Nothobranchius furzeri: one gene and its partners. The protein of the gene in region 1 purifies or fractionates together with the protein of each later gene. This does not show direct contact. Links are inferred from orthologs where the notes say so. Each region holds a gene or a part of one and is shown in the gene's direction. Other genes may lie near its edges.

Region 1 (4,521 bases):
CTCATGAAAATGGCAGCATTCTATTTTTCTGTTAATAAATTCGCTCTGCAGTAAAAAAAAAATACAGCATTCACTACTGGGTTGGAGAGCGCATTTTCAGAGTGGCAGATTAAATTTACAAACGCTATATTAATTGGGGGTGTTTCTGAAAATGTGCTCTGCAGTTAGAAAATTAGAATGCTGCTTTTTTTTTCCTAATTGCACAAGAGCGCATTTTCAGAGCAGATAAAATTTACAAACGCATCCAATTAATATAGTGTTCGTAAATTTCATCTGCTGCTCGAAAAATACGCTGTTAGAAAAAAAAGCTGCATTGAATGCTGTTTTTCTTTCTTTCCTTTCTTTTTTTTTTTTTTTTTTTTTACTACGGAACGCTTCCCACAGATAATTAGAATGCTGAGCCTTCTATCACGCTAAAACATCATGAAAGGTTAAAGAAAAAAAGTCGGCCTCGGGCTCGGGTTGGGCCAGAGAATCCTGAAAACTTTTTCGGACTGGTTTGGGCTGGGGCTCCACCCCCTCGGGCCGGGCGGACACGGGCTCAGATTTTAGGCCTGTGCAGGGCTGTAGTCCCAATTCTTTGCCCCCCCCCCCCCCCCCCCCCCCCCCCCCAATAATTGTTTACATTCTCCAACCACAACTAAAACTACAATGAAGACAGTTTAGGTGGAAAACAAAGTCATTTAAATTATTGATAAATTAAGATACAATAATGCTTTTAGTTATTTTAGAGTGCATCTGGCCCGTCTACTGTAAAAACCTCAGGACCAAACTTGGTTGAGGACTCCTGTTCTAAGGTAAAGAAATTAATTAAATGTTTAAAAAACTAACAATGGCAACTTTAAACTTATATGATGGTAGGCTAAAATGGAATTAATGTTTGTGAAATTAGATCTAATTGACAAGAAAATAATTTTATAAACACATTTTTTACAAACAAAAGCACTCCACATCCCTCTAAGATGACGTCAGGGTACGTCATCCATTTTGATCATGTGACCAGTGAGGGCTGCTCATTTAGTGTCTCCGTCTCATCCCAACTTCTGGTGATTTCTAACAACACGTTAAATTTAACAAACACCAGAAGTACTTTTGTGAACATTTTTATCTAATCTAAAGCGTTGGATTCATTCATAGCGGTCCCCTGTGAGAACACTGCAAGATAAGCAATAAAATAAAGAGTACAGTGCCACCCATTCGAAATAATCGGTGTATCATGAAGTCAAAAACGAACGCTCCTCTTACAACGCGGGAAACGCCGCTGTGTTGGTTCAGTTTTGTGGACTGAGCTGCGACCGTCGCGCTCCCCTTTTGAATTAATCCACATAATTACTATCGAGGCTGGGCACACATGCCCATATACCTGTTTTTGTGTTGTCGTTTGATCTGAGAGCGTTTCATCTTCTACACGAACCCCCTATCTCCCGCTCGGCTGTTTCCGGACTGGCCGAAGGGAGCCGGGGCGGCGGTTAGTGTCGGTTTGTCCCCGCGTTGCTCCTTAACATCGCCCCTCTGTAGCCACCGAGCCGCTGTCGCTGCTGCTGCTAGCGCGCACACAAAGAGACCAGTATTGCTAAGCAGCTAAACTTTAAACAGTCCCGCTCTTGTAAGCAAAATGGACTCATTTCAGAAAGTGGAGAAGATAGGAGAAGGGACGTATGGAGTGGTGTACAAAGCCAAGAATAAAGTGACCGGAGAAACTGTTGCTCTGAAGAAAATCCGCCTGGACACGTAAGTTAAGAGGCAGGAGTTATCTCCAGAGCTAACGCCGCGCTAAAAACATCCACTAATGCTTCAGATTTTTTTTTTATCCACGACCTCGTGGCTGGTGATCGTCTGCCCACTTCCTGCAACAACAGAAATAAGCGTTTCTCGTTAAACTGTAATTATTCAGTGCCTAATATAACCTCCACACAGGACTAAGTGACGTAGCATCCTTGGATATAACCCTGTAGGTTAGCTGGATATGTTTGTTTATGTTTATGCTTATGTGCTTAGCAGACGCTTTTACCCAAAGCGACTTACAATTTTTTGCAAGTCGCTTTGGGTAAAAGCGTCTGAGCAAGTGAAATATGTAACTATTTAAGGGAATTTTTCATTGTCTTGTGTTTTAGTCTACGATCAGATGTTACTAGTGAGTGATCAGAAGTAGTTTTCTGACTCTACATTGAATGCTATTCTGTTTCATTCCTTTGGTTGATTTATTAGTTGAATGGACATGTTTTATAGTTTTGCTGCTGTAGGAGGGTACCTTTCAGTATCTCAAGCTGTCAAACTACCAACATACCCAAACTTCAGCACTCTGAAAAAAGCATTTGGATCCTTATCGATGTCTTCCAACACAAATACCAGAGATGATCAAAGTAAAAACAGAAAGCAGTTTTCAAATGATGATTTAATTTATTTATTAAGGAAACAAACAACCAATCAACACCCTTAGCTGCATAAACATCCATCAAGCATCTGTGAGAACTAATAACAAGGCTTACATTGCTGTGAAGGATTCCTAGACCACATTTTTTTGACATTGTTTTATTCCAGCCAAACGAGTGGGTTGACATGTTTGAAGTCATGGTTCCATCAATTACAGTAAGTGGTCAAGGTCCTGAAGCAGCCCCAGACCATCACTCTGCCACCACCGTGTCTGACTGTTGGTATATTGATGTGTTTCTGAAGTTAGTTTTTCACCAAAATAGTCTCACCACTCCAGAGAATATTTTCAAAAAAGTCTCAAAGATGCTGTTGACTGAAAAACCATTTTAAATATGTTTTTCCTGATTATGGTTACTGAGTTTTTCATGCAGACTGAACATGAAAATAGTCTCCCACACCTTTCTCCTGCATTAGCTTCTGATAGAAAATAGACGGTGAAACTAGAATTAGAAAAGCCTGACAGATCTACGTCACACTGAATAACATTCATGGACTCACCCATCTTGGGTGTTGTTGGATTAGTGTCCAGTAAATTTTTTGTTCTAGTGTCCAGGAAACAGCAGAGAACTTCTCAGCTAATTCAAGCTAACCTTTAGCATTAGCAATGCCACCACACAGCCGAAGTTCCTCCAGCCTTGTGTTATTTGTGGAGATAAAATGTCTATGTTGCAAATCAGTGGTCGAGTTGCATTGCTGTTGTCCGATCCGGAGTGAGATGTCCAAATATCAGGAAAAAGACTCCAAATCCTGCCATCAGAAGGTCTGCTGTGATGTGGGCAAATTTTAGGTCAGAAGAATGGTGCACTGGGATATTTCTTCCCCCTGCAAACAACTTACTCGTCATTTATTAGTACTAGAGACTACTACAAAAATGCATTGATTAAACAAGTGTTCCACTTTCTAAAATATCATCAAGATGCTCTTTGGAGACGGTGAGATGGGTCTTTGTGTGGTCACCAGAGATGTTTTACGGAACTGTCCCATAGAGGCTTTTTTGTCTCATCTCTTTCTTATTGTTGAATTTGACCTTAAACTAGCAAAGGCACCATCTGCTGCTGTGTGGGATCATTTAGCGTACTCGATAGCCATGTTTCCACTATTGAAGTTCCAGGAAAACACAATGGATCAGTGTTTTCAGCCGTTGTGTCTGTACAAAATCAGCCTTTTCAGGACTTTGCAAATACGTCAGCATATCATCAGCATGTTTGCAATGAGTGACGTCACTGATCAGCGCGTCCATAGACAATTAAAACATTTTAAAAGTGTAAGAATATAGTAAGAATTTTACAGTGAGAAAGTCCCAAAAGAGTCTAATGTTTCAGTCATTTTGGAAGAAAGGTTACACTGAAACATATTTCATATCCAGCTGGTTGTGGGGATTGCCACTTTTTCTCCATTCAAAACAAAAGGAGGGTCGTAACTACTGTTTACCATCAGTGAGTGAGGGGGTGCCATATCTACTGCAAGCTAATACCGCAGCGCCGACAGTTGTAATTTGACAACTGCCGGCAAAAAGCACAGGATAAAATTTTGACTTCATTTCTACATAATGCACCTTTAAAATTTTTATTCCGTCAAAGTACGCCATAATTTAATCCGTTCGAGGTTAGGGTTGCAGGGATTAACCGGTTTGACTGTTAACCTCGGTTAACTCCCCGTACAGACGTATCCAACACCATCTATAAAAACAATAAAAAGACAATATGGCGTGAGCCGTTAGGACGAAAACAAAAGCGAAAATGAACGCGAGCATGCAGCAGAAGCAGTGACAACAACCATCGGGACCATTTGGGATATGAGGAGAGCAGCTGCGTGACATGAAAAGCATTTTGCGTTTTACTCATCATCGGTGTCTGATATGGCAATTTGTAGAATAAATTCATAAATGAATGCCTAAAACAATAAATGTGTAAGGGAGTATATGTTTTTGCAGCACTGTATAATCCTTGTTAAAGGGAATGACCGTATTCTAGGGATGGACAATATATCAGCATCAATATCGGTATTGGCCAATGTTAGTCATTTTTTAACATATTGGTATCGGCCTGATAAATAAAAGTGGGCCGATATGAACAACCGATATTTTTT
Region 2 (4,603 bases), on another chromosome or scaffold:
TCTTTGATCAACAGTCTAATGACACTGAGGACATGAGGACATGTTGAATAAAAAACACAGAATTTGGGAAAATATACTATATTATAGGGTGTGGATTCCACGAGGAAAAATGTTTTTCTAAATTCAGTTCAATTCAAAAATACTTTATTAATCCCAGAGGGAAATTGATTGCTGTAGCTCAGAATAATAATAATAATCAAGTCATCAAAGAGTTGTTGTATATTACAATGGCTGTTGGCAGGAAGGATCTCCAGTAGCGGTCAGTGTTGCAGCCAAACTGAAGAAGCCTCTGACTGAAGACACTCTTCTGTTGTCGGACAGTCTTGTGAAGAGAATGCTCAGGGTTGTCCATAATTTTCTTGATTCTCTGGAGAATCCTTCTTTGCATTATCTCCTCCAGTGGTTTCGAAACTGCCGACACTCTGGCTGAGTCCTTGAAAGGGCTTGGAGTTCCTCCATCTTGTTGGCCAGTGATCTCACATCGCCCATTATGATCGATGGAAGAGATGGTTTGAATTTCCTCTTTCTCTGTCTCCGTTTTGCTCCCGCTCTGCACCCACGCTTCTTGCGTTTAGCTCATTTGGGATTTGTGGCTTCAGTTGAGGTAATATTTCAGCCTTTCCAATGTTAATCAGCTGCTCCTGATTGTAAACCATTTGTTGCCATAGTTACGCATCATAACAAATGCTCAAAAAGTGAAAAAAGCTAAAACATAGCAGTAAAAATCCTCCAAGCTTCACAGCACCAGAAACAGAAAAGTAAAGTGTCCAAAAAATACAGTTTTTTTTGAGAAACTAGAAGAAAAATGCCCAAGAAAAGGCAAAACTTACACATAGTCAACTCCAACATGCAGCCGCCCAGAGCAGCGCAGTTCTGGAAAGACAATAATTATACACTGTACACAAAGCTAAAGTACGGAAGGTTGACAACTAGTGTGTGTCAAAACCATACTGCAAAATAACTTGGTTATTATAGGATAAGAAAATAATTAATGGAATATGATTCATTCTTTTGTAACTAGCAGATGTACCAATGCATTGTTTAAGTAATATGGCAACACCCGTGTATGATATTTTTCTTTTCATTTATGACAGCTTGTCACATCTCCATAACAAAAATATGCCTTCCTGGACGTTTAAAGCTGGGTTTTGTGTAAATAATTCGTAGATGTGATGAAAAACAAATGACCGGGCCTTGACTTGAGTCTTGCTCATCTCTTGGTCCAACTGACACGAAGAATAAAGTAAAAATTTAACAAACAAAATTACAGTAAATAATAACGAAACATAATCAATTAATTTGCATGCAAATGAACTACTAAGAACGTGCAGACTTTAGTGGGGTTTTTTGCGCACGTAAAAGTGCGCGTCTGTTCGTGTGCGTGTTTGGGTAGATAAGGGTAAGCACATAAATTGTAGTATTAAATAAATACGTATAATTCATAATTTTAATGGATGCAACCAATACGTAAAGACAATGCAAACATATTCTGATACAACTCATCTGTAATATAAAATATTTACCAGCTAATTTTAATGAACTTTTGTTTTAAATTAAGCAGCCACTATTTTATTTTTGTACACGTCTTCTAAACAACGTGAGTATTCTCAGACACTCCCTTGTACGATTGAACCGTCCCGTCATACCTCGCGTGGCCAACGGCTCTCTACCACCGACTGCCTGCTCATTGAATTACAGCACTCATCGTGTTCAGATACATTTGGGCAACTATTTTCTAATCTAATCCACACGGATTAAAAAAACACCACCACGCAATCTCGGGCTGCTGTGTACTCGACTCCGGCGGTGGAGCTCTCCTGTGCTCGCGGGTTGGAACTGGTCGGGGAAGCGGGGGGAAGTACGGAGCTTGTCCCGAGTGATGGAGCTGGAGTCGGCTAGTAACCGAGGCGACCCGGGAGCGGTGGGAGATTCGCTGCAGCCACAGACCCCAAGCAGGCATGAAAAGAGCCTGGGACTGCTCACGACCAAATTCGTGACCTTGCTACAGGAGGCGAAAGACGGAGTGCTGGATTTGAAAGCTGTGAGCATTCAACCCGGAGTCTTTGTTGTCAGCTAGCACATGTCATACAGAGCCTACCCGCTGTCGTTACTTTCGCTAGCATATTAGCTTAGCTTAGCTCTGTCATGCTAATTTGAATGGATGTAACCTGTTAGCTTCGGGGTTTACAGTATTTGAACATTTGTGATACTCTAACTTTGTTTATTTTGGTGACTCGGTGTGTTAGCGTCCCATAGACACGAACCGTTCAGTCAGACGTGAAATTAACTTTGAAAACAACACCGGCCAACTTTTCAGACTCGCTCTGCCCCCTGCAGATTCAAACTCTCAAAAGTGGGTCAGCTTTTGTTGCTAGTAACATAGTGTGGCATCTTCACACTTGAGCAGTTTCTTTTTTCTGATGGGTATGGCCTTTTCTCTCTGAACGATAAGCACCCCCACTGCGTTAGTTTTAGGAAATATCTTAAATGTGTTGTTTTTTTAATGAGACCTGCCCACTTCCATTAGGTACACAAACGCAGCATAGCTCCTTATTGGTTTTTATCAAGTCCGATTCCAAAAACGTGCAAATCTTTGTGTTTAAACACGTAGAAGTAGTGGATATGCCTCCTCAGTAATGTCAAGATGCTGAGAACTAACCTACTTATTTGATGCAGTACTACTAATACACATGTCCTGACAAACATCTGAATTCAGATACCTCAGACTTGTCAGATTAGTAATGCTCCAAAACAGAAACATTTATAAACACAGTGCCACCTCTGAGCCAAAGTCTAGTAAACCAGGTGGTGTTTAGATTAACTTGACTTCATAATTTCATAAACTAGCTTCCTGGCTGCGGGCACTTATGGTTGCATTGCACTCTGCAGATCATAAAATACCAGACGCTCAGATGTTTTTCTTTCTCTTTCGTTCAGTCCAACTGACTTAAGTCCAGCTATTTGAAAAAGCTTAGACTTATCAGCTCCTTGCAAATTGTTTTTATCTCCTAAGACCCAAAGACTTGGCTGGGCAGGAAGTGTAGATGTCACACCCAGATGGTTTGTAAAATATATCTTTTTTGTGTATTTTACACTCAGCCATGACATTTTCTGTGCAAAAGAGCCAAATGTGTGTTTGTTATTCATATTTTATTCATTGTATTTGTCCTTTTTCTTTCAGGCAGCAGATACCTTGGCAGTGCGGCAAAAACGACGTATATACGACATTACTAATGTCCTGGAAGGAATTGGTCTTATAGAGAAGAAATCTAAGAACAGTATTCAATGGAAGTAAGTTTTATTTGTATGTATGGCTTCATGAAAAGACTAGAATTTATAACTGCAGTCTGTAATAAATTGTTCTTAGCCTTCATGTTTCATGTTTTCATGAAACATCAAGCCTTCATGTTTTCATCATTGTCTTATGTAACAGGGATTACGTCTGAATCGGCTGCAGTTTTCTGAACACGATTGTCTGAGCCTCACCTTTCAATTTTTAAACTGTAGTGATGTTTGTTATATGTAATCATACTAACATATCATATGCCAATACTTTGAGGATATTTATGACTTTGAGGTTTTGCAGCAGTCCTTAACACTTAAAGAGCAAGTCACCCCCTACCAGATTCTTACTCCCCTCCCACTTCCTGTTTGAAAAATGCAACAAATGCTGTTGCCTAGCAGACCGAGAGGGTGGAGCCGCTAACAAACACACACAGGATCACAACGACATTGTGACATCATATGGAACCAGCTAACATTCTAGGGTACCTCTTAGCCAATAGCGATGACAGATTTAAATTCAAATACAGTGCAGAGTTTTTACCTGACAACGGCACAACACTGACAGTTTTAGGCAGAAAATTTAAATTTGAACTAAAATGCACTAAAGTGCAAAACTATTGACTACACGTGTCTGCAGCACGATTAGACACGCATTTATGTAGTTTATCAGAAAATAAGTTGATTTGGGGGTGACTTGCTCTTTAATGTCCTACATACATAAAACAATGCCGTAAGGGAAATGACTATGAGCATGGCTGATTAGCATGTCTTCTACCTGAGTTAGACGTGAGATGAATCTATCTGCAGCTTGTTTTGGCTACAAGTTCATCGTTTATGCTGGGAAAAAGGTTGACGGCGAGTTTTCTTTGCCTGTTGAATGTGAATGACCACGTGCTTACCAATGTGTTTCAGGGGTGTCGGCCCTGGCTGCAACACCAGGGAGATTGCAGATAAGCTGATTGATCTAAAGGCTGAGCTAGACGACTTGGCTGTCCGGGAACACGAGCTGGACCAGCAAAGAGTCTGGGTTCAACAAAGCATCAAGAATGTCACAGACGACTCCAACAACAGCCCATATCTTTCACTGCTGTGTGTGCGTGCATGCGGATGTTTAAACTTTTTCAAGAGAGAGTTTTGTAATAATGTGGACTGTGAGCACCTGGTCACCTAAAGGGGTATTCGACCAATTTTGCACTTAAAAGTCACACAGATTATCACTCAGTCTGTAAAAAGTTGTGACTTTTCACATGATTTAAAGCCAGACATCTTAATGTTTCACTGCTAGTCATATTTCAAAGTTTCAGTGAGAGTTTGATGT
Region 3 (4,356 bases), on another chromosome or scaffold:
TTCATCATTGTACGTTTTTGTGAGTGTTTTGAGACTGTTGTTTTGAGATTGTCATCACATAAAGCACAATAAAATGTATTATTGTTATTAAATTTATTATGATGTGTTTCTGTTTGGAGTTGTGTTGTTTTCTTTACCCTGACAACAACAAAGTGAGCCTTGAGGACAGTGGCCAGAGAGGAGGCTCTATTCAGGCATTACGGTAGTGAATCCAGCAGCCAGAGAGGAATTCCAGGAATGCTCAAAGGCTCTGACTCAAATTGAAACTAGACTTGGATCTTCTGAGTTTACACAGCAGCTGTGTCCACGAACAAGTTGGTTCTGATCCAACAAGCTCTCTCACCACTAATATGTTCTACTGGCTGAATAAAGCAGCTCAAAGAGGAACATCTGTGTCTAAAGATCCAGTTCACACTTGGACTGGGTCAACCACCATCACCCAAAACAGGATTCTGCCTGGTAACAGCAGGTCCTCCCATTGGTCCAACCCCTGTGTGTGTGTGTGTGTGTGTGTGTGTGTGTGTGTGTGTGTGTGTGTGTGTGTGTGTGTGTGTGTGTGTGTGTGTGTGTGTGTGTGCGCGTGTGTGTGTGTGTGTGTGTGTGTGTGTGTGTGTGTGTGTGTGTGTGTGTGTGTGTGTGTGTGTGTGTGTGTGTGTGTGTGTGTGGATCTAGTAGGGTTAGGGTTCTGAATGGAGGTCTCATTTTAGTGATGTCACATGTTCTGGACCATGTGGTTCCTGCTGATCTGAACCCAGTAGGGCTCACAGGGAACCTAGCAGAATCCAGTAGAACCAAAACTCCACCAGTAGGTGTGAACTGAACAGAACCAGGGTCCTCTGTGGAACTCAGTACCAGAACTACAGAGTTGGACCAGTACTCGGTCTAGTTTTGGGTCGTGATAAGGTGAGATGAATGAGTTACTCCCCCCTCCTCCTTGTGTCCTCTGCTGTTCATTCACACCGAACCGAACCGGCAGCAGGACAAAGGGGGAGGGTCACTGCCGCCCCCTGCCGCCTGTTGGGCCCGGAGGCCCGGTCCCAGACCTCCCACCTCCTCCTAGGGCTAGAGGGAGGAGGGCTCTTCCTGCTCGCGCGCTTGCAGACCGCTTCTCTTTGATCTCACCTCCTCCCACCGCGGCCCCGCCCCTTAACAACAGCCTACGTCACCCGCCTTTACTTGTTCCCAAGCGAAAAAGCCGTTTGTGTGTGGGCGTACAGACACGCGCGCGCAGGGAGGTGCGCGCGGAGGTTTTGTTCGCCAGAGCGAGGCGGTCCGGACCTCAGAGGACTCGCGCACACCAGAGGGGCAGCAGCACACGGAGCAGCCCTGACACCGGGATTCAAAAATACCAGATAGAAAAGACACCGGGCCGGTTCTAGCAGGACACTTGTACCGAACCGGTTCTCTCTGTGTTCCGAGCCAAACCATGGATGAGCAGCTGCTGTGCTGCGAAGTGGACTCCATCCGGAGAGCCTACCAGGACGTGAACCTGTTGAATGACCGGGTCCTCCGAACCATGCTGCGGGCCGAGGAGAACTACCTGCCGGCTCCGAACTACTTCAAGTGCGTCCAAAAGGAAATAGCTCCTAAAATGAGGAAGATCCTAGCGACCTGGATGCTGGAGGTGAGTTTTGATTGTCCCTGGGAATGGTTCCGGTTCTGATCCGGCTGCCCCATCCAGCTCCGGTTTGGACCCGGTCTGGACTGCCGTACCGAAGGCAGTGAGGTCGAACCGATCCGGATTTACTCCAGAATTCACAGTAATGTACACGTATGCAGTCCGGCCCAGCAGGTCCGGACAGTGCGCCATCTTTGCCACCGACGAGATAGGATTTAAAGTCCGTTAAAACCAGTCAGACATCAGCCAGAACCGAGCCGGACCCACCAGGCTCCACAGAAACCAGACCAACTTCAGTTCCACTGGGTCTAAAACTGTCTTGGTTCCGAACGGCTCCGCTGAGGATGGCAGACCAAAAAAAAAAAACAGTTTTAAAGGATGAAAGGGTACCAAATGGGTCTGAAGGTTCGGCTCAGTGTCTCCGGTGTTCTCACGCGTCTGCAGAAAGACTCGGTCCTATTCTGGTCATTTTTATTCATTTTACAAGCTGCCTGGACCGGTCTGGTCCGGACCCGAACCGAGCACGCGAAGGAGCCTCGTGCCCAAACCCAACAGGTCCCGAGGGGCCGGTGTGTCCGAACGTACCGAGTTCTGGTGATTAAAGTGTGTGTGTGCGTGTGTGAGATAGAGAGAATGTGTGTGTGCGTGCGTGTGTGTGTGTGAGACAGTGCGTGTGTGGAGGACTCACCTGTCCGCTCCTCTCCCTTCAGGTGTGTGAGGAGCAGAAGTGTGAGGAGGAGGTCTTTCCTCTGGCCATGAACTACCTGGACCGGTTCCTGTCCGTGGAGTCCAGCAGGAAGAGCCGCCTGCAACTGCTGGGAGCCGCGTGCATGTTCCTGGCGTCCAAGATGAAGGAGACGGTTCCGTTAACGGCGGAGAAGCTCTGCATCTACACGGACAACTCGGTCCAGCCCGGAGAGCTGCTGGTAAGGGCTTTAGGACCGTGTGGGAGGCTGCTGCAGGCACACCAGCAGATCAGGTGTTTAGAAGAAGAAAAAGTTTCTCATTTAGCAAACATCAAGATAAAGAATCACGAGGCTCTTCACAAGAGCCAACAATAAATACTAATATAGAAAATAAAGTAAACAGGAGAGCCTGAGAGAGACAGAAACACCAGCATGAAAAGAAGCCAGTGAGGAAGAAGAGGAGATCAACCTCATCTTCATCACTAGCATCTTTTTTGAGGTGTCAAAAACCAGAACAAAGGTCACGTCACACTTCACCTGCAAGGTTGTCCTCTCCTCACGTGTGTCCATCCCACCAGAAGGTTGTGGGAGATGGAACAAATAGTGTTCTTCTGGAGCGTCTGACAGGCTTGTCTGGTGGTCTACACTGACCCCTAGTGGCCGAGAGGTGCAGCAGCAGGCAGACGCTGAGTTAACGTCTGATTGGTTGTTCTGGTCCACCCACAGCAGATGGAGCTGTTGGTTCTGAACAAGCTGAAGTGGGACCTGGCTTCAGTCACGCCTCATGACTTCATCGAGCACTTCCTGTCCAAACTGAAGATCCATTTGTCCACAAAGCAGATCCTCAGGAAACACGCCCAGACCTTCGTGGCTCTCTGTGCTACAGGTGGGTGCTGGACGTCAGGATTCAGGAGTGGATCCACACACACACGCACGCACGCACACACACACACACACACTAGTGTTGTCAAAAAAATCGATACCTAGATATAAATTGATACTAAAAGTGGTATCTAAATTAGATATTCCATCCCTGTGGTATCGATATTATGGACTATTATACACAGCCTTCTTCAAGTACACCAACACGCACGACAGCCAGATGCCGTAAAGAAGCCTCCGCCTCCCAGACAAACAGAAGAAGAAGATGCCGCATGGCTACATTGCAATTTCCCACGCGAGTTGTCTCCGATCCAAGTTTTGTCTGCCAAATAATAAACAAAAACATAAACAGCGAATTTGGGAGGCGCTTCACAGCCCAACTTCATTAGCATACCAAGTCCGACACGTAGTTGTATATTCACGCTTATGTGCTTAAAGGAAAACTCCCATTTATTGCAACCCGGACTTAATTTCTAGCATGCAGTACGTTTGTTTACTCACGCTGACAACTTTGGTGCTACTTGGATTCTCCGGGGTATTTAGATCCATCGGCAAATCGCCATCAGCGTATATCCATATAACGGGTGCGGACGGGCACCCATGGTGCAGCCTTGAAATAAGACATTATCTGCACCAAAACATCTCTATGTCGAAAGGTTTAGTTAGGAATCATTAACATGATTCCCCTGTTCGTTTGGAGCGGGTCTAGGATTTCTAGGCGTGAACAGACTAGCCGCGGCTAATCTAACCGGTGCTTTTAATTACGTCACTGCTGTGCGCCAATCTGTTTTTATTAAGATTACCGGTAGATGTACCTTTGTCCTACTGTGGAGAAATTCGTTTTCTCCCTTTATTGACCAACAGAGTTGTTCAAAAGTACAGAACAAAACATATGGCATTACATCTTATGACAAAAATGCACCTTAAACAGAGTTTAAGCAGCAAAACATCACTCTGCAAATAGTGTGTATATAGTGAGACAATTCATGATTTAAAGTGTTAACTTTGGCCAGTTTTTGTATGCACTTTTTAAAAAATGCTGATACTTGAAAGGTTTAAGCACTTAATACAATTAATTCTTAACATTTAATTTTTGCAATATAAATTGAGGAATTTTATTTTTTGAATAAACTTGTTCAATAAATTGGTGTTTTTAAATAGTATCGAAAT
Region 4 (4,390 bases), on another chromosome or scaffold:
ATGTGCCCCAGAGCAGCTGTGGCTACAATGTAGTTAATTAATCCAGGACTCTAGAAGGAGCTATATCAAATACAGGCCATTTTCCATGATGAATGACTTTTGTTATTGTCGACACAGAAATTTGTTTTGTGAAACTCGACAGATTTCTAGGTTATCCAAGGTGTTGCTGAAATCCCTCCAAGTTCATTGTTAAATTATCAATCAGATGGCAAAATATAAAAGACACAAGACTCAGCTGATCTTCTGATCTGGCAAAGGACCCATTTACTGGATCCGTACTGGGAGGCTCACAGAATAAAAAGTGTTGAGCAATTGTGCCATCTTGTGTCTGTTTGATGTTGTCGGTCAAACTTCTGTACACATAACTTGTCATAGTGCCATTTGTCAGAGCAGTTTATCTAGATATTTTGAAGGATTTTACAAAAATTTTTTTTATTTAAGATCAATATAATTGTGTAACACAAAATAATACAATCATATGAAAGACAAGGGTGGGAGAGTTGGTAACATGTATAATAACTAGAGGCCCATTGCTCAAGCTAGCATACTCTGAACATTCTTTCTGCTGGACAGAATTAATAACACCTTAAAAATCACAGATAATCAGTTTGGCTTTAAGTCTGAGCTTGGTACAGACGTGTGTATATGTGCTCTAAAGGAGATTGTGACCAGATATAAAAATTCCTCCGTCTTTATTGTGCTTCATAGATGCATCCAAGGCATTTGATAAAGTTAACCACAGGAAACTTCATGAAGCTGCTGCAAAGAGGTATCCCAAGATACACTGTACGCATCCTGGTTTATCGGTATGGTCAACAAATGGTACAGATAAAATAAGGTAATAGTATCTCAGAGCCATTTAAGGTCAGTAATGGAGTCAGATAAGAAGGCATTCTATCTCCTCTTCTTTTGAACCTGTACATGGATGACTTATCAGTGAGGTTAAAGCCCAGCAGGACTGGCTGTGCAGCTGGTGGTCCTGTAAATCATCTGATGTATGCAGATGATTTAGTGGTTCTAATTTCGAGCACAGCTGGTCTACAGCAGATATTGTACATTTGCTCTGACTGTGGAGTAGAACACAAAATTGTGTATAATGCAGCTAAAAGTGTGGTTATGATTTATTGTGCCAAGGAGGAAAAGCAAATGAAGTTTCCAAATTTTCATCTGTCAGACTGTGATTCGTGTCACCAAGAAAGTAAAATACCCTGGTCATACCATCACAGAGGACACGACAGATGAAGATGACATGTAGGCAGTGCTGTACGTTTAAAACTGTTTCACTGTAATGAAATATAATACCTAAAATGTTGGTCCCACTGGTTTAATTTACTGATGACAGCAGAGCGAACTGGGACTTTCCCATCACTGGTAAGAAACACCAGATGGAAAACAGCCTTCCCAGTAAACATGAACACTACTTTACACTTCAGTGGGGAATTGTGTAAAATACTACATTTCTCTAACATAATGTGTGTTCATTTTTCCCCAATGCCGTTATGAACGCGTTTAAAAGTGTGAAAATGAAACTATTTAAACACGACATTTCCGAGGTGCATTGACAGCAGTTTTTTTTTGTACCACCCCAAACCGGAAGTGTTTAGCAAAAATTGCCAAAATTAAATCAATAATAAAAATATATAAGATATAAAATCCCACTTTCATGGCTAGGGTTGATAAGCATGATGTTGTGAAGGACAATTCTGTAGTAAAGAATTTAATTATCCATCAGTAAATGGAGAAAATTAAAAAGTGGGTTTGTGATAGAAACTCTGAGTAGATTTGATCGATGTTTAAAGTTTAAGCAAGTTGTTCAAGCTAAACATGCCTGAAACCAGCAAATATTAATTAGACAGTAATGTTCTGAATAGAGCACAAGGTGTAACCTAGCCTGTTTTATTTTTGAGATAGACACCTCCCATTTTAACAAACACATTATATGCAAAGCAGTTTTGCTATGTTTAAGCATCTAGTAGATTGTACAGTTCGGGGTAAAATGGATCTTAAAAGAATTTAATTAAAAAAATAAAATTTTATATAAACAAAGATTTTAATGTTCGTTCATGTTTTCAACTAGAGGTTGCCTTTCAGTGTCCTGATTAATGGTACTGTCAGATCTGTCACAGATATTAAAGTAAATTATACGACAACTTAAAAAAAATAAACTGTGTTAGTATTTTTAGCATAGCCAAACTTTTACTTGACATTGGGTTTGTGGAGATTTACTTTGAAATGATAAACCGGAAACGCTCCTTTTTATTCATAGCTTTTCTGTTCCGGGAAACACAAAACTCGGCACTCTCGCAGTTTTCCCGGGTCTGACGCTTTCAGCTCTGAACCGACAGATCAGCTGTTTTTCTTGTGTACGCAAGAGACGTTTTCTGCTCAATTTGTTCGCCGCTTTTATTCGCTTTTTAACGATTAACCGTCAACTGTTTTATCCCAGCATGGCATCTCGGAAGCGACCGATTGATTCGACCGACGAGGGCTTCAAAACGCCGGAGAGGAGAAGGTCTGCGGTCCTGCAGCCGGACTCAGACTTCCTTCTTTGGGGAGTGGAAGAAACATGTCGGTACCTGCGAAACGAAGGTCTGAGACGATGGGAGAAAACATTCAGAGGTTTGTTTTCTGATTTGACAAGTTGAAGCATTTAAATTAAAAGGACCGTGTTAGTAAACCACACGGCGCCCGGGTGACATTTTTATCTGTTGTTTTGTTGTGAAGACCAAAACATCACAGGTGTTGGCCTGAGGTACCTAAAGGATGAAGACCTGGAGAAGATTGGCATAAAGTGAGTTTACCATCTAATAAAGTACCCAAATGCACTGTAACATGGATGTGATATATGCTCTCTACGGCTCATTATAAGCAGGTTATTTTCTTACCCCCACCCCCCAACATCATCTTCCTCATTTCAGGACCTTGGGTGACCGCCTGCAGGTCTTGCACAGCCTCAGGAAGCTGTGGCAGATAGAAACTAACAAGGTAAAGAGTTTCCCACAAAACAAACTTTAAAGGCATCAAAGATGAGATGAATGTGCACTTTATTTACAGCTAAATGCAAAATAGATTGTAAAACATGACAGTGACCTGAATGCTGCCTTGCTGAGAGCGGGAATTCATAATTAGTGTAATCAAAAGTAGTTTACTGTATTTAAATGCATTTGTTTGTTTGTTTAGCTGGTTTAACATTTTTAAAGAGTTGTAACTCAAACATGTATTTACCTCTATAGGGTTTTCTCGTTCATACAGGGTCATGTCTTGCACATTTTGCCAAGGAAGTATAAAACAACATTAAACATAAAATATGTTTGAATAAAGTTATGAGTGAGTGTTTCTATCTGGATAATTGAACTCTGTGTCATCATGACTTTTACTTATTGGCACAAATATGTCCCTTATCCTTTATTTTGCCTCCTAAACCTGTTTGTTTGCCACCAGGTGTTCAATGATCCCATCCACGGTCACATGGACTTACATCCACTCCTCATTAAATTCATCGACACCCTTCAGTTTCAGAGGCTTCGATACATCAAGCAGCTTGGTGGGACGTACTACGTGTTTCCCGGAGCGTCCCACAACCGCTTTGAACACAGTATTGGGTACATCATATGTATTTGTCATTTTGGCATGGTTTATAACTCATCTGTGACATTTATTGTAAAACTATGTTAACATTATTTATCTAGAAGGTCACAGGTGACACAGAAAGTCCTGTTCTAAGTTAATCTCAGTGTGATTTGGTTGTATATCATGTGTGAGGCAGATTGTCTTGCTGTGTGCTGATACAGGGTCGGGTACTTGGCTGGACAACTTGTCCAAGCTCTGAACGAGAGGCAGCCTGAACTCCTCATCTCTCGTCGGGACATCCTGTGTGTGCAGATCGCTGGACTCTGCCACGATCTGGGTGAGTGATGCTCTTCACACGCAGAGACGAGTTGAGCTTTTAGAGTTTTTATTCACATCTTTACGATCTGGAAGTCAAACCCCTTTTTATTTTTAAAGTCAACAGACTTTCAATGACTTTTATGTAATAGAAAACAGGAAGTGTAAGTGTCTCACTCCATCATCTTGTGTCCATTAGGCGTTTCTGTGGTTAATCATCAGTAATCACAGTTAAAGGTTGTCCTCTTTTTGCAGGACATGGACCCTTTTCTCACATGTTTGATGGCATGTTCATGCCTAGAGCTCGTCCACAACTGAACTGGAAGGTGAGAAACTCTTCTAGCCTATAATCTGGTTGGTTCTGTTCTATGTTGTGGAGATTTTGGTGCTTCTGAAGTTTGAACATGAGTCATGACCAAACTACTTGACATCTGGAACAATAAAAAAACGTGACTCACAGGCGTTGTTTTCCTCTCCAGGCTAATTTGAAGTACGTTGCCATCAG
Region 5 (4,328 bases), on another chromosome or scaffold:
GATTGTTGTGTCTGCTCACCATCTGCACATATAGACTAACTTAAACACCTGAAGAAAAACACCAGATGGTCCAGTTAGGATAAGGACTTTCACACCTTTTACACATAGATTCCTTACGGGTCCATGAAAAGCGGGCTAGGATCCCCAGGAAGAAATAATACATTTCTCTGCATAATTAAATGATAGACAAAATGAGATTAACTGAAGCTTATGAATCATGGCCAGTACTTTAGTTTTATAAGTAGTTTCATAAGTCTACTTTTGGTAATATGTGGACTAACGGACCTCTCCTGGGATCCAAAACAACCAGGGAATGGCGGTCAGCCAGGCTATTTCCAACCATATTGGCTGTCTGACAATCGGCTAGGTTAAGGTTAAAAAATGGTGCAAGAATGGTGAATAATCACAACAGTAATGAAAGGAAAACATTGGTGCAGAAACATGGTGTTGACCATTTCTGACTTTGTAATAACTGACCTAAACTCCTTCTGAAAACACAGCCATGATTATTAAAATTAATAAACTGTCTTTTTCTTCCTCTGTAATAAAGTTTTGATTGTGTTTTGTCAGTGTTGAAAGTACCATCAGTCCATTGTAAGAAATACCACATATGTAGCAATCTAGATCTGGTCAAAGTGACGTATGAGGTTGATAAATGGCAATCAAGCTGGGAATAATGCGTTAACATGCGACTTTCCTGCAACATCACAAGGTGTCAGAAAATACGTTGTGACTACGTTGTTGCAACGGACCTGTGTTAGTAGGGAAGCATCGATAACGACAAAAAACATAAGTCAGATTAGTTACAAAGGGAGGAGAGATCAGATGCAGAAGATGATTAGATTCTGATTGTGTGTAGCAGGAATAACTGGATCGTGTTTGAATGGTGTTGTATCTGTGCTGTTTACATGCAGCAGCAACATAAAGAACACATAACAGACAGTAGCTTTACCCATGAGGAGATTGAGCATGACTTCTTGTCCTGCAGCACTGTCGCTTTTATATAGACAGTATGCGGCACCGGCCAGCCACGGGATGCCATGACCTGACACCTCTATCAGTTTCATTAAGGGGCGCACACTGCCCCAGGACGAGTCCTCGCAGGCACACACACCCAGCCGCTTGGACAACCACAAGTCGATGGCGAGCAAGGAGCTGAGCGAAACGCGGATCAGGGAGGGGTTGAGCCGTATGCCGTCCTCCTCAGGTGGCCCCTGACCGCTCGCCGAGCCCGTGGAGGAGTTGGAGCCCCGGCGCCGAGAGGGGCTCTCCGAGGCTCGAAGGCGGGCGGTGGTCGGGTCGGAACCCTGTCGCTGAAGGTGAGACGGTGAAGAGCGGCCCGTCTGCTTCGTCGACGAGAAAAACTCGTAGGAGCTGCCGGAGAGCCCCGGGCTTCCTCCGCTGCGACCGGGGTTTTTAGCTTTAGGAGAGGGCATTTTATCGAATAATCCACCGATGCTGGCAGGAGGATGTGACGTTATGTATCCGAACCAAATAAATAAATGTACTATACTGTTCTGAGGGTTGTCACTTCGTTAATTCATCTGTTGTTCATTTGACAATTCCTATCACGTCCAGGTACGCCAAACCGAACCGCCATATTTGTTGTTCTTGTCACAAAGACTTTTGGGAAATTGAGTAGGAAAAGGCAAAGAGTCTATCGCCTGAACGGGGAGGGACAATAACAGATAATTATTTTTCAACGGTAGGGTTGGTTTTCTTGGTGCGGGATTTTTATGTTTCACCCTTTTAATGTAATTTTTATTTAATATTTCAGTACTTATTTTTAGTTAATCTAATTTTTTGGGGGGGGGGGGGGGGGGACGACGACAATACGTGTCTTTCTTTTGCTTTCTGATTGGTCAGAATCTTGCCTTAGCCCCGCCCTTATCCGGGTTCTGTTCATAAGCAACAGAGCAGCGTGAGGCGCGTGGCGTTGTTAGGCTGACTCACTCCCTTCCTTCTGTTGTGTTTAGAGCCGAACCATGCCTGGACTTCTGCTCGGCGACGTTGTGCCAAACTTCGAGGCCGACACCACGGTCGGAAGGATCACATTTCACGATTTTCTGGGAGACTCGTGAGTGTACACGCTTTGTGTGATGCTTTTGGGTCAGCGTGTCTGTTTCCTAATCTCTGTAGAATGAGTATCCCTGAAACACGACTACACTCGTTATTTTCTAAGTTGTACATCAAAGTGAAATATTTTAGCTCATTTGACTCTAATTTATAGTACACACCTGACTGACTTACCTGCTGATAGTGATGTGATGAAACAATTTGTTTGCATAAGTAGTTTTTGTTTTTTATTGAAGAGACTTGTTAAACAAACAAACCATGTGTGATGGCCCAACATCAGGCCACACTTAAACAAGTCGATTGACCTGCTGTGATCTCTGGGAGTGGCCAAACAAAGATGGTGGCCAGGGCTCCAAGCAGTTAAATATCTGCAAGCTAATTGGACTGCGCCACCAGTTCCTGATGGATAGGTGAAATTAGTGTATGCTTGAGTAAAATTGGCTTTTGTTTTCTTGATTAGGTATTTGTATTTAAATTAGTAAATATTAGTCTCTTCTTTGATGTTTAGTTTACCAAACAGCTGGACTACACTGATTGTGTTTATTGTGAGTGTTGTATTGTTTAGGTGACCCCCATTGTTTGTATTGGTTTGATTATATATATACCCCGTGTGTCTGTTCTTGGGAGGTCAGTTAAGTTTGTTTGTGTAGCCAGTTGCTTTGCTCACATTTTTGCCTGAGTTCTGTTATTTGACCTCTTATGAGCTCAGCATTTATCTTTGTTAAATTAAGTTCTTGTGTTGATAATCAAAAGATAAAAAATGAACCCTATTTTTCTAAAGTATTCCTGTGAGGCCTCATGCTTCACCACTGGTCCCTCACACCATGTAACATGATAGTAAACTAACAAAAAAATCACCAACATGATTATTTTAAAGAAGTAAAACGGATCTCTTCTCACCTGTATGGTTTTATGATTATTTTATACAGTACAGATATGTCACTTTATTAAAGACACAAGAAGGTCCATAACAGATAATAAAAACATAAATAAGTAGAATAAGTTAAATAAATGCAAGCTGTTTCATTGTCACATAAAGGTTAGGATGCCAATATTTCCACATATTAGAATAGAACATAACAGATCTGTGTGTGAGATACCCGTATGGTTTTTATGATTATTTTATACAAACGTCTGCTTTAGTAATTGGTTACAGCTTTTTAAGCAACAATTAATTTGAAGTAGTGAACTAAAACAAGATAAAATGCACTTCAGTATTTCACTTTCTCATCAGATTAGGTTAGATGTGTATTCTATTAGAAAATGCTCTGTTTCCGGTGTTTGTGTACACTTATGCACACTTGTTGTCTAGTTTGGACATGAACTGTGTAAATATGCACATCTTCTGGATCACGTTTTAGCAAATCCTTGTTTTGCATTATTTATAGAATAATGTTTCTGCTTTAAACAAACATTCAGCAATCTTGTAGCAGTGCTTGCCTACTACGGTTTTAAAACAATGGGGGGGGGGGGGGGTACACATTTTGTTTCAGTTTGGTTAATACAGAACTACTGTTGCCTCTAACCAATCCTTCCTTCTAATGTAGATTTGTTTAGCCCCATGCCCAATGTTTGTTTTTATTTAAATGAAGATAACATATGGACAAGGACCAGTGCAACTTCTCAGAGTGGATGTAATCTTTGAAGTCTTGGCTTTGACAGTGAGAGACATCAGTTGGAGTGACCGCACAATAACCATTTCCCTCTCTCCTCATCGGGAATCTCTGCTGGATTGTGTGGCGGTCATCTGTTAAAGTCGTGTCCCACTTCATTAGGCTCACTGTTGTTTCCCATCAGTTACGCTTGTTCCTGCCAACACCAGCGGAAGCTTTATTCCTGAAGAATAAACTTTAGGTCGCCACTTTTCAAGCCTAAAAGTCGCTTGTTTAGCAATGGAAGAAAACATTTTAGGATTGTCCTGACCTTTTCTGGGCTTCTCAACAGTCATGATCCTGGTGCATAAGGGGAGCATGGATCTTCTCCTCCCCGTTTCATGTGATAAGTCACAATACATTGTTTCGCTTTGCAGGAAATGGTTGGCACACCCATGACGGCTGGAGTAATTCTTGAGTTTGATTCTTCAGGAATTGCAGATGCTTGTTGATTCAATTAGAACCCAGAGGGCCGTTATCCTGCATGTTTTTGTTGTTTTCCTGCTTCAGCACACCCAATTTTAACCAGCAGATGATTAACAGGCGTCTACTGAGCTCAATGAGCTGGTGAACAGGTGATTGAACCACTGAATCAGAAGT
Region 6 (4,318 bases), on another chromosome or scaffold:
TTAATAATTGAATTTAAATCAGAAACATTCTTGAAGATGTTGTCCGGCACATTTTTAATGTTTTAATGTTTATTTTCACACAGGATTTCACCAGATAGGTAGGAATCTTAGTTACTGAAATATTACATTTTAGCTCCATCTCTATGAAACTGAGTAGGAGCCATTTTCGTGTTTGATGATCGGTTTGAATCAGGTTAGAATCCGCTGTTCTGATGCAGTTCCCTGATCCACCAGCAGATGGCCCTCTGCTGGTGGAATAGAGAAACCACTGGTGGAGAACATTTGGTTCTGTGTGTGCGCGCGTGATCATTCTGATTATTTTAATGTTACTGCTCGGGTATTTTGTCTCGCGTATATAAAAACAAGTTAAAATAAACTGATGAAATGTCAGAGTCGTGCTTCTCTGGCATAAATAATTCAAATATCGCCTCAAAGGACTGAACTGCGCATGCCCCACAGGTATCACCCGCAACCATAATTGTAGTTTTCAACAGTAGACCTTTCTGCGGGATGCAGATGATGCATTCAGTGAAAGATTTTGAGCTGCGAAATCATAAAGATGCGCTTGCCCGCTGCGTTGGCCTGTTTGAATTCATTAAAATGTTTAAAAAGAAGAAATTTAACCCGTTTTAATTCGTAAAATCAAATTGTTCTCCAAATTGGGCAATCTGTTGTCTCTAACCTACAAAATGAATGGGTTCCTTTTATTTTGAAAGACAACTAAAATTGATGTTTTTTGGTGGTGGTTTGTGTGTGTGTGTGTGTGTGTGTGTGTGTGTGTGTGTGTGTGTGTATATACTTGTCTTTATAGGTTTAAGTGGACAAATTTGAACTATAACCTGTACTGTGTAGACATTTTTACATTGTGGGGATTTTTTGCTGGTCCACACAATGTGGAGCACCCTAAAACTTGTTTTTAGAGGTATGGCATTAGTTAGGGATAGGGTATGGGTAGGCATAGTGGAGTAACTAACATGGAGCAGGGTGTCAATGAAGGGCCACACAAACATAAAAACAAGCGTGTGTGCGTGCGCGTGCGTGCGTGAGTGTGTTTGTAAAACATCAAACCAGTAGAGCTCGCCTTTATTTGTCACTTGATTATTTTCTTGTGCAATTAATAATATTAATAAAACATTATTAAATAGGTTTCGGTTTCTTTCTTTTTCAGAGTAATTCAGCAAGTAAAGTAAAATATAGATATTAAGAAAGTAAAATAAGATATAGAATAATAGTGTTAATGAAAGAGAATGTTGACACAATTATTTTGGGCATACTGTAATGTGTCATTCTAAGCGTATTCGTGAGATTTCATCACGCAAGCTGATTTTCCGACGGACCCTGAACGCATCCTTGTTCTGATCTTTGTGAGGAGCAGCGAAACGATCGCAGTTAGCCACGGCCAGCAGGAGCTCCGTTCGGCGGAACACAGCGGAGGATACCGAGCCTGGACGCGATTAAAACACCTTTCCAGCGATTACACGATCCCCACAACGAACTAAGAATGGTAAGAAGACGTTTAAGGGCTGCGATTGTTCGCTGGGTGGATCTTTTGTACGGAGCTTAGCTGGAGGTCTAGCTGGCTAATGCTAAACGGCTAGCGAACTGTTTTCCTGACTCATTATCGAACAGAAGCCATTTTACAGCAGGCAGCTAGAGAGTCCTGGGCGCTGCTGTTGGCTCGGCGGCGACGGTGCCGGTCTTTAATAATGCTCCCGGGTACTAACGCTTTACCTTAACCAGTTTTGGGACGGAAACAAACGCTGTAGTTGGATTAAAAGCTCGTCCACCCAACGGCCAGGCAGCTGTGCTAGGTGGCTATCTGAAAAAGCTAAGACTTCGCAGTTGCGTAGCAGCGTCGAACGCCAGCCTGGTGAGATGAAATCCCAACAATAGTCTCATAAAACCTAAAACTTAATGTTGGTTTGAGCTTCATGTGACAAAAGAGTGTCAGGGAAGTAGATTTAATCCGAAGAGAAGCCCTGGCCCTCTGGCTACAAGAGACTGGATGTTTCTGGAGAACCTGGAAAATCTTAAATCCCACATTTTCTATCCCGGAGAGCAGAGGAGGCTTGGAATGATGATTTGGTTTATTATTTTTGTTCCACAAATGATCGCTGCTCTTACACGTTACACCAAAAAATACAACCTAGAGATCAATCTGACTCGAACACAATCTTTCCAATAGTTCTTAATAATCTGGTGGATTTTTCTGTGTAGTCTATAAACGAAGAACTATCCATGGGTTATATTTGTTTTTATTTAAATGTTGTGGAGTTTCTGATGAAGAGTCAGCGATCACACAAGATGCGTCAAAATACAAATAAACAAAACAAGGAAATGGCTTTAAAATAAGTGGTTATCAGTATTTGTGATTGGTTCGTTTTTCCTTCAAAGTAAAAGCTTGGTTTTCTGTCACCTTTCATATCTGTTTAAAATGAGAAAAAATCAGAATTTATTTATTTGTTAAGGTTTGTTAAGTGATTAGATGTAACCAGTAACAGCAAGACAACCAAGGCACAGATTAAACCACCACACCTGTGTTTTTGAGAGATTATTTCATCGGAATAATCCAGAACTTGTCTTTGATGTTCAGCCGCCACAATAAGAAATTTTTATTTATTTCTCTTAGATTTAAAACTGCAGTTTAAACTAGTTTCCCTAATCCCACTGTTCCCAGCAGGAATTCTGTGCCAGGAACCCCTGGTTAGTTTTGTTGACAGCAGGGACTTTGGATAAAAACACCTTCTGTACTGACGCCACAGCTTTCATACTAAAGTGGACTAAACTTTACTTATACAGAAGAACAACCTTTATTCATAAAGATCCGCCCACTTTAATAATGATGATGATAGCTGATAAACATTTAATAAATAGGAGGTGAGGCATAGATTAACTTTTATTCTCTAAGGAGCTTTAATCCTTGTTTTTATTTAATTTAATGATCATTTAAGGTTTTACATTCAGTCCAGTTTGGTTCCGGATCTGGTCTCAGATGGTTCCTACAGACACACAAGCTGGTTGAGGTTCTTCTAATCCCAGGATTATAATCTGTGTTAATGAAAAACTGGTAAACACTTTAAACTGAGTTCCTGGAGAGAACATTAGGTCTTCTGCAGAGACCTGGATTGGGGCAGATCTGGACCAGGGTCTGGGACGGACTACTATGTGTGTGTGAGCTTTAATCTCACTCAATGCACCAGAGAGGAGAGAATCAGATCAGATCCGTTCGGACCAGAACCTCTGGCCATAAGAACAGCTTCTTCCCGTCTGCTGTTGGACTCGTGAACGACAATCCTAGGGTTACCCACTCCCGTGGTGTGGTTCCAGTCACCTGACATGATGTTGTTTGTACCTGAGCTGATCTGCTCTGATTAGTACCTACACAGTAGTAGGGCTGTCACGGTAACCGCAAAAATGAAATATCGCGATATGAAGAAGCCCACCGCGCTGCATCATGGGCCACCGCGATTACTGAACTTGGTTCAACTCAATGATGCATGTTGAGAAGGATGGCTGCACTGGTATCAAAGCAAAACGTTACTTCGCTCCTTTGGGAGCACTTTGGTTTTCAGTACGTCAGCTGCTGCGCAGCCAGAGTCCTTGGCCGAGACAGAGCTGCCACCAGCGGCAAAAATAAATAAATAAATAAACTAGGGCTGCAACAAACGATTATTTGGATAATCGATTAATCGGATGGGGTCTCGACACGATTAATCGGATTACATGGGGAAATTTTTAAAAACTGCTAGGGAAACGTTATTTCTCTCCTTCCTTCACTTTATTTAACACAACATTATTAGAAAACAGTTCAATAGCAGAAAAATAACATGCCATCACCTAAATTGTCTTATAAGGTGTATAGACAGAGACCCTAAGCTACATCTATCTGTGACCTAAAATGCTTGGTCCAAGTTAAACAGCTTAAGGGCAATTCTCATCTGTTTTGTTTGATCTCATCTGTTGACATTTATTTTAAATGTAATTAAACATAGGCTGTGAATTTATCAAAATTGATCACTATTTCCAAAAATGACTGAAAAAATACCAAATAAAACAAAAGTAAATGAATGCCATCCTACTTGTGATGATGCCCTGGGCAACTGCCATAAAGTCACATCAAGAAATGCTGCTGATCATTCCAATGATCCCAAATAGACTCACATTAGGCCACATGAAAGCAACTGAACCCAAAAATATATGAACCAGTATATAACTGCACTCTCACACAACACGCCTGCAGCAACAGTTAGGACTCCTCCCTCCCTTTTAAAAGCATTTTTGCTTCTGAGGACATTGTGGTTGTAAAACCACATGCTAG
Region 7 (3,815 bases), on another chromosome or scaffold:
AAGGAAACCATCAGGGTGGAATAAAAAAAAATTGACTGGGTTTTACTCTGTTGGACAGGATAGTAGTTCCCATGATTTTCTTTTTCCTGCACACTCGCATCTAGAGCTTCTCCCCCATGGTAGCTGCTTCTCTGTGCACGCTTGCTTGCCTCTGTCACTAGGTAAATTGTTCCTTGGCCTGTCTCTTCTCTCTCTTAGTCTCTGTTTCTTTTTGCTGTAGTTTGACAGTTTTCTGAAAGCACTTAGTCAGAGCAATGGAGTAGTCCTCCCACCTAATGGCACCTGTCAGGTGAGCCTCTGTCCCTCTCTTTCTGCTTTACTTGGTTTTCTTCACCCCTTTTAATGTAAAAACGTGTTTCTATTTTTTAATTTGCAACTTCTGCTCCATTTCCTTATTCTTGCATCACATGATAAACTTTGTCACATAGAAGTAGTCTTTCCTAGGCATTGCTTCTTTTAAACCCATCAAGAAAACTTTATACTGTATGTTGCACAAGTGTTTTCACTTTTTTGTCTCATAATTCATCTTAATAAAGTTTTTGGCGTTTCTTGTTAAATGCAAAATGTAGACATGCATCACTGGATTAACAAATGGTGTGCACGTGTGTGTGTGTGCGTGTGCTCATTTTTCAGTATTGCTTGCTTTTAAAAATAGTAATTTTCAATGTTGCATACACTGAGCTCATATTAAAATCATAGTTTCTAACCTAGTTAAATGTTTGGAACAGAAACTGTTGCAATGTCACTGTTGCCATTAGCTCTTGACAGTATAACAGTGTGTATTTGTGTGTGTGTGTTGTCGCAGATCTTTGCTGACATGGAGGCTGTGGGCTCTTCTGTTGCCCAGCTGCAGGAGGAGCCAAACAGCGAGCCTGTTAACCCCGCAAATGCTAACACTGCTACTAACTCTGAGTTTGTCAGTCACAACACTGAGCTGCAGGTGTGTGTGTGTGTGTGTGTGTGTGTCTCCTTTTATGCCCTGTTTCCACCTCTGCATTTTAAAACACATCTACCAGATTTACTTGCATCTCCATCAATATAAACCATCATGTGTTTATCAGGGGTGTTGATTACTTTACATAGTTTTTTCCCTTTTTTACATTTTAAGAGGAAGAATTAAAATGTTTTTTGACATGTTTTGTGTTCGTATTGTTAAATGTTATCATCTTTTCCTGTATCTATTTTTCTTTTTGCATTTTCTTTTCTATCCATATACAGGCCTTCTCTGACACCAATGGAAATGAGAGTTTAAAGGAGGAAAATAGGTGAGTTACCCCACTCAGATCTATCTCTGTTTTGTCACGATAATTCACATTTGATTTAAAGAAGATAGAAATTGATTGAGAGCTCTTGTAAAATGTTATCTGGGTTTCTTTTTGGATCTGGTTGTGTGTGTGTGTGTGTGTGTGTGTGTGTGTGTGTGTGTGTGTGTGTGTGTGTGTGTGTGTGTGTGTGTGTGTGTGTGTGTGTGTGTGTGTGTGTGTGTGTGTGTGTGTGTGTGTGTGTGTGTGTGTGTGTGTGTGTGTGTGTGTGTGTGTGTGTGTGTGTGCAGTTAAAATGTCCCATTTCTACCTATCTTGGATAAACTGGCACATTTTTAGCCCTAATCACACAGCTGCAGTGATTTCCTGTATTTTATCTCATTTTACTGTTTTTGGGAGTCACAAAAAGGGAAGGTCATCATGGAAAAGCTTAAGACTACATTAACTGTTTACAATAAATTGAAATACAACACCAAACTAACTTTATTTTAGCAGCACTTAATGGAAAGGGTTATTGACAACAGCCCCAACAGGCTTTAATTTCTCATTAATCCAGTTGATTTGATTTAAAGAGCCTTATTTTTGCTTGTGGTGTGAAGTGGTTGCTGTTGCTTTTCGGTTGGGTGTTTATGTGTGTCTCCTGTCCAGCAGACCGCTGTCTTCCACTGAGAGCCTGAGACAACTCTCCCAGCAGCTGAACGGTCTGGTCTCCGAGGTAAGCCGTTACACCCACCACTGTCCTCCTCTTTGTTATGCAGTGTTGGGATTTTATTACAAATACATCACCTCCTCTCAAGCAGTGTGTGTTGCATCTATTGGGAAGAAACTTCTCTCTTGTCCTTCCTTTTTTGATGACCTGAAGCAGACTGCTAGAGTTATCAGCCAGCTTATCTTCTCTGAACTTGTTTTTTGTTTTGTGACAATCAGAAGTACAAAATTTGCTTTTTGGTTTTGTTTTTAAAATGATTCAGATCATTGTCATTGTTACCAGTTCATATCTTACTGAGTTATTAGCCGAACTAATCACTGCTTTGCTGTGGCTTTTGGCTTGTAGCAGTGAATTTTTAAATGTTAATACTTATTTGTAAAATCACCTACGGTGGTGAAAGTTGGGCTGGGATGCAAATGAGGCCAGCTCAACCATGTTAGCCTACTCACACACTGATCACGTATAAATCATCCTTTTCTTGTTATTCCAGTCAACTGCTGCATACGTGAATGGAGAGAGTGCACCTTCAGTCAGTGAGAAAGAACTAGAGGTGAAAAGAAAACAAATTTCTTTTTCTTGATATTTCACCCTTGAGTTTTACTTGTTTGTTATTCCAGACGTTCTGGTCCCTGCCTGTATCTGTCTGTGGCTGTGCCACAGATACTGTTTCATTGTTACATGATAGTATCCTAATGCATGCATCAGTATCAGACTCCAGATTGGAGTTTTGTTTGTGTCACTTCTCATTGTGAAAATATTCTTTTATTCATCACCACCTATAGCAGTTCCATTGTTTGCTTTCATGTTAATCTTCTACATTTGAATATTTTTCTTGCTCCTGTGTTCTTTGTTTGACTTTAGTCACCACACTTTATCACTGTCTTTTTTTCTTTCCTTTTTGTTTCCCGGATGCATGCGTGCACGTGATAGAGTCGGAACCAGGAGCTGACAGCCGCCCTGGAATCTTGCAAGCTAACAAATTTTCAGCTCAATACCAACCTAGAGCAGCTGGTAAGAAGCTGTGTGTGTGTGCGTGTGTGTGCGTGCATGTTGTTAACCCTTTCCTCCCTTCTACAGTTATTTATTGTGACACACTTTGCATGCCATCATTTCTTTATTTTCTCATTTGCATCCTCTGCTCAGGTTTTTTTAAACTATTAATCCAAGCACCTGCAACACCAGCTGCCCTTTGAGTTCACATTTTGACCCTGACTGTCATTATCGTTTTGTTTTGGCATGAAAGTTGGGACTTGTTAAGCCAGCTTAGCCCTCTAATGACAATAGACTCAAAGTTTTGAACTGTTTTTTGTTTGTTGCACAGCAGTGTTGTTTCTAGCATGCAGATGAGATCTTTTGCAGTGTTTTATGATGTCTTTATGTTGAGACTGGGAAAGTATTTGTATTATTAAAGCCAAACTCCTAATTTGTCTGTTTGGCAGGTACAGCAATCCCAGGGACTCACAGATCAGCTACAGAAGGTTGGAGGATTTTCACACTCCTGCTAGAAACCTCATGTTTACTCCTAGATCATCTTTTTACCTTCTCGTCTTCTTGATGCTCACCTCCATCGTGTGCTGTTCTCTGCCTTCAGGAGCGAAAAGAATTTGAACAGAAATTTACGAAAGAGCAAGGAGCCATGCGGGAGCAATTGCAGGTGAATTCTCGTCGCAAAAAGGTTCTCTTGTTTTTGGCTGAATCGTTTTTTAGGATTCATGCGGTTGAGTCATAACAGGTCAAACTAGTATGGAGGTTATCTCTATTGTCAGTTGGTGCATTCATTTGTTATTGTTGTTTAAATGGAAAGAAGGCCTGTTTTCATCCTTTACATTCCAACTCTCCCATCC

The links.
Region 2: the proteins of cdk2 (region 1) and e2f4 purify together in Homo sapiens (affinity purification with mass spectrometry; 4 studies listed by BioGRID and IntAct, with this or other methods). This does not show direct contact. The link is inferred for Nothobranchius furzeri from reciprocal best matches to the Homo sapiens genes CDK2 and E2F4.
Region 3: the proteins of cdk2 (region 1) and ccnd1 purify together in Homo sapiens (affinity purification with western blotting; 12 studies listed by BioGRID and IntAct, counting the BioPlex papers as one, with this or other methods). This does not show direct contact. The link is inferred for Nothobranchius furzeri from reciprocal best matches to the Homo sapiens genes CDK2 and CCND1.
Region 4: the proteins of cdk2 (region 1) and samhd1 purify together in Homo sapiens (affinity purification with mass spectrometry; 3 studies listed by BioGRID and IntAct, counting the BioPlex papers as one, with this or other methods). This does not show direct contact. The link is inferred for Nothobranchius furzeri from reciprocal best matches to the Homo sapiens genes CDK2 and SAMHD1.
Region 5: the proteins of cdk2 (region 1) and prdx6 purify together in Homo sapiens (affinity purification with mass spectrometry; 3 studies listed by BioGRID, with this or other methods). This does not show direct contact. The link is inferred for Nothobranchius furzeri from reciprocal best matches to the Homo sapiens genes CDK2 and PRDX6.
Region 6: the proteins of cdk2 (region 1) and cullin-1 purify together in Homo sapiens (affinity purification with mass spectrometry; 4 studies listed by BioGRID and IntAct, counting the BioPlex papers as one, with this or other methods). This does not show direct contact. The link is inferred for Nothobranchius furzeri from reciprocal best matches to the Homo sapiens genes CDK2 and CUL1.
Region 7: the proteins of cdk2 (region 1) and golga2 purify together in Homo sapiens (affinity purification with mass spectrometry; 4 studies listed by BioGRID and IntAct, counting the BioPlex papers as one, with this or other methods). This does not show direct contact. The link is inferred for Nothobranchius furzeri from reciprocal best matches to the Homo sapiens genes CDK2 and GOLGA2.

The regions. Positions count from the first base shown.
Region 1 is NC_091743.1:49,088,105-49,092,625, reverse strand, and holds the start of cdk2 (cyclin-dependent kinase 2), read left to right. Parts: upstream 1-1,473; 5' UTR 1,474-1,615; coding exon 1,616-1,731; intron 1,732-4,521. UniProt on the Homo sapiens protein: Serine/threonine-protein kinase involved in the control of the cell cycle; essential for meiosis, but dispensable for mitosis. Phosphorylates CABLES1, CTNNB1, CDK2AP2, ERCC6, NBN, USP37, p53/TP53, NPM1, CDK7, RB1, BRCA2, MYC, NPAT, EZH2.
Region 2 is NC_091744.1:86,783,067-86,787,669, reverse strand, and holds the start of e2f4 (transcription factor E2F4), read left to right. Parts: upstream 1-1,745; 5' UTR 1,746-1,879; coding exon 1,880-2,041; intron 2,042-3,181; coding exon 3,182-3,291; intron 3,292-4,197; coding exon 4,198-4,359; intron 4,360-4,603. UniProt on the Homo sapiens protein: Transcription activator that binds DNA cooperatively with DP proteins through the E2 recognition site, 5'-TTTC[CG]CGC-3' found in the promoter region of a number of genes whose products are involved in cell cycle regulation or in DNA replication.
Region 3 is NC_091749.1:21,576,366-21,580,721, forward strand, and holds the start of ccnd1 (G1/S-specific cyclin-D1), read left to right. Parts: upstream 1-1,249; 5' UTR 1,250-1,426; coding exon 1,427-1,624; intron 1,625-2,328; coding exon 2,329-2,544; intron 2,545-3,030; coding exon 3,031-3,190; intron 3,191-4,356. UniProt on the Homo sapiens protein: Regulatory component of the cyclin D1-CDK4 (DC) complex that phosphorylates and inhibits members of the retinoblastoma (RB) protein family including RB1 and regulates the cell-cycle during G(1)/S transition.
Region 4 is NC_091755.1:60,847,948-60,852,337, reverse strand, and holds the start of samhd1 (deoxynucleoside triphosphate triphosphohydrolase SAMHD1), read left to right. Parts: upstream 1-1,501; 5' UTR 1,502-2,447; coding exon 2,448-2,619; intron 2,620-2,724; coding exon 2,725-2,791; intron 2,792-2,918; coding exon 2,919-2,985; intron 2,986-3,441; coding exon 3,442-3,602; intron 3,603-3,791; coding exon 3,792-3,907; intron 3,908-4,140; coding exon 4,141-4,211; intron 4,212-4,390.
Region 5 is NC_091748.1:46,872,210-46,876,537, forward strand, and holds the start of prdx6 (peroxiredoxin-6), read left to right. Parts: upstream 1-1,602; intron 1,603-1,976; 5' UTR 1,977-1,985; coding exon 1,986-2,077; intron 2,078-4,328. Other genes in the region: polyisoprenoid diphosphate/phosphate phosphohydrolase PLPP6, read right to left, coding at 953-1,436. UniProt on the Homo sapiens protein: Thiol-specific peroxidase that catalyzes the reduction of hydrogen peroxide and organic hydroperoxides to water and alcohols, respectively. Can reduce H(2)O(2) and short chain organic, fatty acid, and phospholipid hydroperoxides.
Region 6 is NC_091747.1:63,530,811-63,535,128, forward strand, and holds the start of cullin-1, read left to right. Parts: upstream 1-1,365; 5' UTR 1,366-1,504; intron 1,505-4,318. UniProt on the Homo sapiens protein: Core component of multiple cullin-RING-based SCF (SKP1-CUL1-F-box protein) E3 ubiquitin-protein ligase complexes, which mediate the ubiquitination of proteins involved in cell cycle progression, signal transduction and transcription.
Region 7 is NC_091746.1:54,879,630-54,883,444, reverse strand, and holds part of golga2 (golgin subfamily A member 2), read left to right. Parts: intron 1-220; coding exon 221-289; intron 290-805; coding exon 806-940; intron 941-1,218; coding exon 1,219-1,265; intron 1,266-1,910; coding exon 1,911-1,977; intron 1,978-2,461; coding exon 2,462-2,521; intron 2,522-2,901; coding exon 2,902-2,982; intron 2,983-3,410; coding exon 3,411-3,449; intron 3,450-3,562; coding exon 3,563-3,625; intron 3,626-3,815. UniProt on the Homo sapiens protein: Peripheral membrane component of the cis-Golgi stack that acts as a membrane skeleton that maintains the structure of the Golgi apparatus, and as a vesicle thether that facilitates vesicle fusion to the Golgi membrane.